Ovis aries: one gene and its partners. The protein of the gene in region 3 interacts with the protein of the main gene of each other region in a pairwise test. Links are inferred from orthologs where the notes say so. Each region holds a gene or a part of one and is shown on either strand. Other genes may lie near its edges. The genes, in order: SEC14-like protein 4, COPS4 and USHBP1.

The links.
Region 1: the proteins of USHBP1 (region 3) and SEC14-like protein 4 interact in binary tests that used the Homo sapiens proteins (3 or more experiments, as listed by UniProt). The two-hybrid records come from large-scale screens. The link is inferred for Ovis aries from reciprocal best matches to the Homo sapiens genes USHBP1 and SEC14L4.
Region 2: the proteins of USHBP1 (region 3) and COPS4 interact in binary tests that used the Homo sapiens proteins (3 or more experiments, as listed by UniProt). The two-hybrid records come from large-scale screens. The link is inferred for Ovis aries from reciprocal best matches to the Homo sapiens genes USHBP1 and COPS4.

What each region holds. Positions count from the first base shown.
Region 1 is NC_056070.1:69,462,125-69,465,774, forward strand, and holds part of SEC14-like protein 4, read right to left. Parts: intron 500-3,650; coding exon 456-499; intron 168-455; coding exon 108-167; intron 1-107. UniProt on the Homo sapiens protein: Probable hydrophobic ligand-binding protein; may play a role in the transport of hydrophobic ligands like tocopherol, squalene and phospholipids.
Region 2 is NC_056059.1:98,576,356-98,580,005, reverse strand, and holds part of COPS4 (COP9 signalosome complex subunit 4), read right to left. Parts: intron 141-3,650; coding exon 7-140; 3' UTR 1-6. UniProt on the Homo sapiens protein: Component of the COP9 signalosome complex (CSN), a complex involved in various cellular and developmental processes.
Region 3 is NC_056058.1:5,618,922-5,622,671, reverse strand, and holds the start of USHBP1 (harmonin-binding protein USHBP1), read right to left. Parts: upstream 2,264-3,750; 5' UTR 1,806-2,263; coding exon 1,752-1,805; intron 1,658-1,751; coding exon 1,509-1,657; intron 1,286-1,508; coding exon 862-1,285; intron 1-861.

The DNA of each region.
Region 1 (3,650 bases), on a different chromosome or scaffold from region 3:
TGACTCGAAGCAGCCCCCCAGGCCAGGTCCCCACTCCCTCGGGCGGCTGGACGCGGTGGGTGAGTTGAGGGGGCAGCAGTGGCCTGGGGGACCCCACGTGGGCTCACCTCTGAGGGCTTCCACTCGAGGATGTTGTCCAGGTCCTGTTGCTTGCGGAACTCCACATGCTGCGGAGGCACGGCTGGACTTGCAGACTGCCTGCCCCAGAGGTTCACAGGCCACGCCCCTCTGCCCACGGACACCAGGATCCCGCCAGAGCCACCCCAGGCACCACCAACATAGGACTGGGGGTGGGAACGCCGGGACGAGGGCTGTGGGGGACCCGCATCTGAGGCAGAAAGGGATGGAGGGGGAAGGACTGGGCAAGAGTCCCCGGCCTCTGTCAATAATCCCTGGGGATAATTCCGGGGGTGCAACGTGTAGGAGACAGGATGCTCGTGAGCACGGGGTCTCACCTTACGGAGCATGTCCTCTGATCTCTGCAGGTCAAAGTTCCGGGCTGCAAGAAGGAGTGGTAAGAGGAGGCTGGAGGCAGAATGCAGCCTAAGCTATTCTCTGACAACTCATAAAGAGATAAGCTCCAGGGGCAAGGAAGGTACACCTTCCTGATGCTCCAGGAATACACCGGGAGTCTGGAATTTTTTTTTTTTTTTAAAGCAAGGATCTTTAATCCTCTTGAAGACTGTGGAAGGCCCCTGATTTCATTTTCCAGGACTTAAAAAAAGAGATTTATTGAAGTATAGTTGATTTATAATGTCATATTAATTTCTGCTCTACAGCAAAGTGATCCAGTTATACATACATATGTGTTCTTTTTCATAATGGTTTACTATAGGATACTGAATATAGTATCTAGTAGCAATGGCACCCCACTCCAGCACTCTTGCCTGGAAAATCCCATGGATGGAGGAGCCTGGTGGGCTGCAGTCCATGGGGTCGCGAAGAGCTGGACACGACTGAGTGACTTCACTTTCACTTTTCACTATCATGCATTGGAGAAGGAAATGGCAACCCACTCCAGTGTTCTTGCCTGGAGAATCCCAGGGACGGGGGAGCCTGGTGGGCTGCCGTCTATGGGGTCACACAGAGTCAGACACGACTGAAGCGACTTAGCAGCAGCAGCAGCAGCAACGATTGCCAAGGCAACGATATTTATCACATTACATAGTCATATTCCTCAGAGTCAGACATGACTGAAGCTACTTAGCAGCAGCAGCAGCAGCAGCATATACTATCCAGGCCTTTATTTTTTAGATATTTATTTATCTGGCTGTGCCGGGTCTTAGCAGCAGCACTTTTGAGTCTTTGTTGCAGCACGTGGGATGCTGTGGCGGCATGTAGCATCTAGTTCCCTGACCAGGGATCAAACCAGGGCCCCCTGCATTAAGAAAGAGCTCAGAGACTTAGCCACTGGACCACCAGAGAAATTCCTCCAGACCTTTTAAACTTGTTCACTCTAGAGCTGATCTAGCCTGCAACCTTTAACATCCCCCAGGAAGCAGAGATGCCCCCGGTGTTAGGAGGGGTAAGAGCATGGGCTTTGGAGTCAGATTTGAGCTTAAACTCTAGTTTTGTCCTTTTATTTGCTGTGCAACCATGAGTAAGTCACTTACATTCTCTGAGCCTTAGTTTATCTGGGACTATCATTTTAAGAGTTATTCAAAGGATGTCCTGAAGGACTTTTGTCTTATAAATAACATTTGAACCTTTTCTGAGGCCCTTTTCTGCATCGAGATAGCCATACAATTTCTTATCTTTAACTCCATTACTGTGTTCGATGACACTGATAGGTTCTCCTTTCTTGTCTTTTTTTTGGCTGTATGACTTGTGGGATTGTCCTGATGAGGGAGCGAACCAGTGCCCCCTGAAATGGAAGCTCTAAGTCTAACCACTGGACCACCAGGGAATTCCCTAAGTTTTCTGATGTTGAACACTTCTTGCATACCCAAGATAAACTCTCCTTGATACTATTGCATAATTTTAATACCTTCTTGGATTCTGTTATGCAATATTTTATTTAGACATCTTTACATCTACATTAGTAAGTGAAATGAGCCTAGAATTTCCTTTTATTGTCCTTAGCTAGCTTGGGAATCAAACGTGCCCAAGCCTCATAAAATAAATCTCACTCTTTCACATATTTGAAAACAACTCAAACAATTTGTATACCTAGAAATTAGCTGGTATTAAAACTGGAGGAATTCACCTGCAAAGCCATTTGTGGTCTGAGTTTGGAGGGGAGGGGACGTTTTTATTACCATTTAAATGTCTTTCATATTTACTGATCTGTTGAGAGCTTTCTTTGTCTTCTTCCAGGAATGTATCCATTTCATTTAAATTTTCAAATTTGTTAGTGCATAAATCATAGCTGATATTCTTTTATTGACTTTAAAAATATCTGTGAGATGTCTCTAGGAGATTTTTCTGCTGAGAACCAGAGAGTGGTTTCTGGTCCTATAGACAGTGGTTTGGACACTGCTACTGGGTCCTCAAAACTTTTTTACTATGTGTCAGACTTGGAGTACCGGGCAGGCACAGTCCCTGCCCTCGTGGAGGTGGCATCCAAGAGGGAGAGATGGACCCAGACGAGGGATGGGGACAAAGGAAAACAAAGGAATCAGCCTCAGAGGGTCAGGAAAGCTCCTCAGCCTCTGGCTGAGCTCAGCCCTGGCCTTTGACCCTGTCTGGAGCCTGTGAGGCTGGGAGGAGAGCTGAGCTGAAGGGGGCGGGGCCGCATCAGCAGATCTGCGGCACTGTGAAGGGGAGGCGTCGGACGCCTGCACCCTCTTCCCGTCTCAGGTCCTTTTCCTTCCCCTGACCCAGCCGCCTGCAGCGCATACGGTTTCACTCTTTTATCTAAGACCCACGAGGTACCTGAAAAGCTGATTTTTAAACCCAAAAAGATTCAAAGGAGGAGGAGAGAGGTCTGAGGCTGTATCAAGTGGCTTTAAGAAATCTACCGTCCCCAAAATGGTCCAGATGAACCTATTGGCGGAGCAGGAATAGAGGTGCAGATGTAAAGAATGGATGTGTGGACTCAGGGAGGAAGGGGAGGCTGGGGCAAACCGAGGGAGCAGCCCTGACACACACACTCGCTGTGTAAAGCAGACAGGATGCAGGCTGGGGGTGGGTGCTCGGGGCCTGATGACCCAGAGGGGCGGGATGGGAGGGTGGGTGCTCGCCCCGTGATGACCCAGAGGGGCAGACAGGATGCAGGATGGGGGGGTGGGTGCTCGGGGCCTGATGACCCAGAGGGGCGGGATGGGAGGGTGGGTGCTCGCCCCGTGATGACCCAGAGGGGCGGGATGGGGGGTGGGTGCTCGCCCCGTGATGACCCAGAGGGGCAGACAGGATGCAGGATGGGGGGGTGGGTGCTCGGCCCCGTGATGACCCAGAGGGGTGGGATGGGGGTGGGTGCTCGGGGCCTGATGACCCAGAGGGGCGGGATCGGGGGGTTGGTGCTCAGGGCCCTGTGATCACCTAGAGGGGCGGGAGGGAAGTGCAAGGGGAAGGGCATGTATGTATACATAGAACCGATTCACTTTGTTGTACAGCAGAAACTAACAGCATTGTAAAGCAATTATACTCCACATTAAAAAAAAAAAGAAAAGAAATCTACTGTTCCAACTCCTTTTTTAGCTTGGGTGGGG
Region 2 (3,650 bases), on a different chromosome or scaffold from region 3:
CAGGAGTCACTGAGCCATCTGGGCCTCCATGGCTTGAGCTGTCCATTCTGGTGCTGTCTGGCTAATCTTCTCCAGCAGGTTATTCACTTGGAAACACAGTGACTGGATCTGTTTGTCCCATGTTGGCAGGGCTTCTCGTGCTAGAGAAAAAAGGAATAATGTACAAAGCTGAAGTTACTCCTTTGCGACCATAGTGAATGTGAATTAGAAGACAAAATACAGAAACGCTGATTTTTAAAAGTTTAATACGAAACTCTTGGCTGATAAAATTAAGCTAATTAAGCAACAGTTAAGAAAAGTACTCCAGTCACTGGCACAGAATATAAAACAAAACAAAAATATACAAAATAAAACCAATCAAACCACCTCATCCACAACAGTAAGATGACTTCACTGAAGTTAAAGCACTGAAGTGCTTTTCTCACTCAGTTTATACCTTAAGATCCCCTGGAGGAGGGACAGGCTACCCACTCCAGGATTCTTGGGCTTCCCTGGTGGCTCAGTTGGTAAAAAATCTGCCGGCAACGCAGGAGACCTGGGTTTGATCCTTGGATTGGGAAGATCCCCTGGAGAAGGGAAAGGCTACCCACTCCAGTATTCTGGCCTAGAGAATTCCATGGAGTGTATAGTCTGTGGGGTCACAAAGAGTTCGACAGGACTGAGCGACTTTCACTTTCTTTCACTTTATACCTTCATAAGACACTGCCACCTACTGGGGAAAGTAAGCCTATTTACCTACTCCACGCTGTCTCTACTGGACTCTAAAGAATATTTTAATATTTAAACTCCAAACAAAAAACCTCATGATCTAGCAGGCTTTTCTCTGCACAGCAATCTGCAGTTAGAAATGAAAAACTAGGGAGGGAGCAGCTCCATCCAAAACAGCATCAACATTTACAAATTTGGGCACAGAATTAATGACGGGAAAAAAAACTATAAAATCTGACTAAAGGACATAAAATAACTTGAGCAGATACAAACCACATTTCCAGCTGGAAAGATGTAGTATCTTAGAAATATCAGTCCTTTTCTATTAATACATAAATTTAAAGAAATTTCCAAGACAATCCCCCCTTTCTCTGTTTTGCTTCCTGAACAAGATAAAATTACTGAAGTTAATATGGAAAAACTGATGTTTGAGAATAGCCAAGATAATTTTGAAAATTAAAAACAGGGGAAGGATTATAGTACATCTACACAACTAAGTATTACTCAGCCTTAGAAAGGAATGAAGTACTGACTACATGTTATAACATGAGTGAAACTTGAAAACACTACATTACGTGAAAGAAGCTGAAAGGTCACATATTGCATGGTTTCATTCATATCAAATATCCACAACAGGTAAATCCATAGAAACAACAGAAATTAGCTGCCAGGGCCTGGAGAGAGAGAGGTATGAGGAGTAAGTGCTTAAGGGGCATGGGGCTTCTTTTTGAGAAGATAAAACTATTCTGGAACCAGGCAGAGATGGTGGCTGTACAACACTGGAAACATACTAAATGATACGGAATGATTAATCTCACAGATGTGAATCTCGACTCAATTAAAAAATAGTAGTGGAGGGACAGGGTCTGCTCTATCAAGAGCAAACTCTCTTATAAATTATGCAATATTGTTACAGATCCATGGAACAGAAAGAGATCCAAACTAATTTGTGAAACGTGTGTGCGTGCTAAGCCGCTTCAGTTGTGTCTGACTCTTTGCAGCTCTACGGACTGCAGCCCGCCAGGCTCCTCTGCCCATGGGATTCTCCGGGCAAGAATACTGGAGTAGGTTGCCTTGCCCTACTCCACGGGATCTTCCTGACCCAGGGATCAAGCCCACGTCTCTTACATTTCCTGCACTGGCAGTCGGGTTCTTTACAACTAGCACCACGTGAAACCTAATACACTTCAAAGATCAGAAAGGATGCTTTATTTAATAAATGATACTCACATAATTGGCAATCTATCTTTAAAAAAAAACAGCTAGACTATGATTTAAAATTATACACAAAAATGAACTACAGACTGAATTTGTAAATATAAAACAATAAATAAAATATTAAAGAAACTTTAAATATTAATTTAACCCCAAAATGAAGGAGACTTTCTTACTCAATACAGAAAACACAAAAGTCATAAAATTAAAAATGGACAGATTTGGCTGCAAAAAAACTTTTAAATGTGTCTGGGGTTAGGGTTTATGGTACACATTGCCTAACAGAAACTCAACTGATAGAATGAGAAAAGTATCTGTAACATTGATATAGGAAAGGTATGGAGAAGAAAGGAAGGAAATATGTAAGAAAAAATAACAATTCACAGATGAGAAAATGCTAATGACCAACACATGGAAAGATTTAAACTTCACCAGTGCCAAGGAAATGTACAGTAAGACAATAATGCAGTATTTCCCCCCAACAACAGGCAAAAGATGAAAAACAAAGAATATCCAATTGTTAAAGCTTCATTTCTCATGTTGGTGGAAGCGTAAATGGCTATAGCTTTCTGAGTAGCTATTAATCAAAATACATATATCCTCTGAAACATCAAAGTATGCAACTTCTGAGACTTCATTCTAGAGAACTAAGTGTCCCAGGACTTAAAGATTTGCACAAGGAAACCACCTGAATGTCTAGCAACAGGTGAACAGTTGAACTCCATGAAATAACCACACAACTATTAAAACAAATAAATTAGATTTTATATCTAGTGACTTGAAAATATGTTCATGGTACATTAACTTAAAAAAAAAAAAAAAACACTTTGTAGAATACTATGTACTTTAAGGCAGGACGCCATTTTTTAAAGTCCCTACCTTTTTTTACTTCTCTATATAAGCATGCAGAAAGACAGACAAGATTTCAGACTGATATTAGTTGTGCCAGACAGGTGGGGTTAGAGGAATGCAAGAGACAGTGAAAAGATATTAGAGACTCTTCCTTTAGTTACTGGTGTAATATTTACTTCTTAATAAGAGCAGATTTACCATTGTAATTTTTTTAATCTAAGAAAATTAGAAAGGAAAATATTCCATATTCTATCAAGTTGGCAGACATTAATTTAAATTGTTCTTTTACTTGGTGACCCCTCTGCTATACTATTCATCATATACTGTATTTGTTAATTCAATAATTATTTATTTCCCACTTACAATAGGCAGGGCATTGGAAAAGATGTTGGACATATGGAGAACAAGAAACACTTAATATTGATCACTAGGAAGCTGAGCTTGGTAACAGAAACAGGCATTTAGACAAAGAGCTACAGAAATGGAAATAATTATGATTAATGCTAGCAAGAAATTCAGGGTGACAAGAACATATAACTTAGAGCTACTCCTAAACTGAGGAGTCAGGAAAATCATTATTGATTAACGCTGTTGAAACTAAGACATGGGGACCAATAGAAGATGACTGGAGAGGCTAGCTGTGGAGGGATGGCTATTCTGGAATGTCTGATATGGGAAGGAACTTACAGTGATGGAGAAAACAAAAAGACCTGTGGGCTGGACTGGAAAGAGAAATTCATAAAGGGTCATGCACGATCTTTTGGAGACTTTGCAGAATTTTACTCTACAAGCAATGGGGAAACCATTCAACCAGCATGTAATGGAATAGACACTGAATCATTTGGTTTTTATTTCTTTTTTCTGCCTGTTTGCAT
Region 3 (3,750 bases):
AACCCTCCTTGAGGCCCACAAGGCCCTCCGGGATCTGCTCCCATCACCTCGGTACCCTTGTCTCCTCCTGCTCAGCCCCATACTGGCCTCCTCACTGTTTCTTGAACGCACTAATCACACTCCAACCTCCAGCCTTTGCGTATACTGTTCCTAGAGCCTAAAATGCTCTACCCCGGTTCCTTACATGTTTCCTCCCTTGCCTCCTTGTGGTCTTTATTCAAGTGTCATTTCTTCGATGGGCCTCTCTGATCCTCTTAACTAAAGTTGCAAGGGATCTTTGTCTCTTTGGGGTTGCCGACAAAGGTCCGTACAGTCAAGCTATGGTTTCTCCAGTAGTCAATTATGGATGTGAGAGTTGGACCATAAAGAAAGCTGAACGCCAAAGAATTGATGCTTTTGAACTGTGGTGTTGGAAAAGACTCTTGAGAATTCCTTGGATAGCAAGGAGATCAAACCAAGCAATCCTAAAAGAAATCAGCCCTGACTACTCATTGGAAGGACGGATGCTGAAGTTGAAGCTCCAATACTTTGGCCACCTGATACAAAGAGCCGACTCATTGGAAACGACCCTGATGCTGGGAAAGACTGGAAGGCAGGAGAAGAGGGTGACAGAGGATGAGAGGGTTAGATAGCATCACCGACTCAATGGATATAAGTTTGAGCAAACTCTGGGAGATGGTGAAAGACAGAGAAGCCTGGCATGCTGCAGGCTGCTGGACATGAGTGAGCAACTGAACATCAGCAAGGCAAGTCAAAGCTCCAAAAAAATCTTCACAAATGAACAAACGATTCAATGTGTCTTATGCCAGGCCTGCCTCCCTCCCACCAGGGATCCCTGGGAGGCAGCCCTGCCCAACTCACCTCTCTCTGCAGCATCTCCTTCTCAGCCTGGAAGGCCTGCAGGGAGTTCTGTGTGCAGATCAGCTCATCCTCCCGGCTGCCCAAGGCCAAACGCAGCCAGGCATTCCTTTCAGCCAATCGGGCTGCCTCCCGCTGGCAGCTCCCAGCCCCCTCCTGCTCCAAGCAGGGCTTTGATGCCCCCTCGCTTCCGTCCTTTGCCTCCACTGGCCCAGGACAGTTTGGGGGCCGGTGGCGCCAGGCAGCAACGGCTGCTTCCAGAGAGCTCAGCGCTTGCTGGAGAGTCTGAAATACATCAGGTCCAGAGGGGACGCTCTCCCCGTCCTGCAGGACTGTCTCTGGGGCCTGGTGGGTTTCCTCACGGGGCCGCCCCTCAGGGGCTGGGGCTGGTCCCCTGCTAGAGTCCCCATCAACTTCTTTGTCAGTCCTGTGAAGAGGTGAGAGATGGAAATTTCTGGAAATGGGGTCATTTGAGGTAGCTAACACACAGAGGGTTTGTAACAAGGCTAGGACTGCAGGGCCTTGAAAGCCAGGCCAAGGGCAATGGGAGCCATGGCATGTGTGTGAGTCGGGGAGGGACATAAACCCATCTCTGAGTGGGAAAGATGTGCCAGGTCTGCAGTGGGGGACACAGACAAAGTGGGCCTTACCTGCTCTCCAAGCCCTGCCCTTTGGCCTCCACCTCAGAGGCCAACAGTTCCACCTTGGTGCTATCTTGAGATGCCACAGGGCCCGGCTCAGAGCTCCCACTGGCTGCCTCAGCCTCCTCTGAACTCTCTGCCACAGGGTCCAGCTCACCCTGCAAATGATCCCCAGGGCTGAGCTCTGAGCCAAGCAGATCTGGGTGCTGGAGTCTTGCAGGGTTGGGTGTGGCAGGGAGGGGGAACACTTACGGGCAGAGCATGTCTCCCTCGCCGGCTTCGGGGCCGTGTGGCCCTGGCACTCATTGTTATCCAGAAATCAGTGTCTTCTGAATCCTCCTTTATCCTCACCCGCTAAAACCACAACCTGACTTCAGCTCAAAGCAAATGACAACCTTAATTTCGTCTTCTGTGAAATGGGCATTGATTTCACTTCTCCAAAAGGCTCTTGAGTTATCAATGTAGATTTGGCACATTTGAATGCCTCCCTTGATGGACAGCTCACTACCTCTCAAGGTTGCCCTGACCTCTTCCTTCTCTTCCGTCTCCTTGATTTTCCTCTCTCTCTTTGCTCCCCTCCCTCCCCTATCCGGGCTTGGGAGGAGGAGTTCAACAGTCCTCTCTCCTCCTCAGGGCTCTCCTGAACCAGAGATTCTAATCCTGGGATTTGGTTCCCTCAGCCCGCTCTACTTCCCTATCCTCCTGGGGGGTACCTTGGTCCGAAAACCAAGTCCCAGGACATTCTTGGAGTCACTCTGGCCACTGCCCGCTCAAGCTCGGGCTGGCCGAGGCCAGCCTGGGAGGGGCCGGGAAACAGGAAGCCCCCTCCCCGGCCATGTGACCTGTTATTGTGTACTTTCTTCCTCAAGGGCAGCGACTTCCTCTAGCCCCAGCAACAGGACGCATGGCCAGCTCCCGACATGTCAGCCCCTCCTCGCCTCTGCTTCCCAGGCCGAGGCTCCTCCAACTCTGACCCTTGGATTTGATTTCTTGGAAGCTAGAGTGCCACTCTGGGCTGATGCTCTCCACCTGGCTTCCCTATGAACTTCTTTCCTCTGACTGTCCCTTCAGTGTGAGAGTTCTCGTTCCACTTCAAGTCACGGACAGACCTGGGGTTGGGACCCCTGAGCAAGCGATGAGCCTCAGCACATGAGCCTCAGTTTCTTTGTCTCCCTTCAGTGTCACAGGAGGTTTTTGTTTTGTTTTGTTTCTAAACAAAAACAATTTTCTGAACGATAGCTGATTTACAATGTTGTATTAGTTTCAGGTATGCAGCAAAGGTTTTTATTTTTCTTCTTTTCTTTTAGAATATTACAAATTCTTTTTTATTCTTTCTCAGGTTCTTTCCATCATAGGATTACAAGATACTGAATATAATTCCCTGTGCCTTATGTAGGTCCTCATTGTTTATTGTATATAGTGTGTACCTGTTCATCTCAAACTCCTAATTTATCTCTCCCCTACTTCCCCTTTGGTAACTATAAATTTGCTTTCTTATGTCTGTGAGTCTATTTCTGTTTTGTAAGTAAGATCATTTGTATCGTTTTCCCCCCAAATTTAACTGCACATCTTGTATTTTATTTTTAAATTAAAAAATTATTTATTTATTTATTTATTTATGGCTATGTTGGGTCTTCCGGAGAAGGCAATGGCAGCCCACTCCAGTACTCTTGTCTGGAAAATCCCATGGATGGAGGAGCCTGGTGGGCTGCAGTCCATGGGGTCGCTAAGAGTCGGGCACGACTGAGCGACTTCACTTCCACTTTTCACTTTCATGCATTGGAGAAGGAAATGGCAGCCCACTCCAGTGTTCTTGCCTGGAGAATCCCAGGGACGGGGGAGCCTGGTGGGCTGCCGTCTATGGGGTCGCACAGAGTCGGACACAACTGAGGCGACTTAGCAGCAGCAGCATGCTGGCTCTTCACTGCTGCGTCAGCTTTTTCCTCTAGTTGTGGTGAGCGGGGATACTCTCTACTGGGGGTGAGTGGGCTTCTCATGGCCATGGCTGCTCTTGTTGCGGAGCAGTTTTGAGGCACACAGGCTTCAGTAGTTGCAGCACATGAGCTCAGAAGTTGTGGCTCCTGGGCTCCAGAGCACAGGCTCAGCCGCTGTGGAGCATGGGCTCAGTTGCTCCATGGCACGTCGATCTTCCTGGGCCAGAGACTGAACAAATGTCCTCTGCATCGACAGGCAGATTCTTTACCACTGAGCCACCAGGGAAGCCTTGTATCATTTTCTAAGATTCCACATA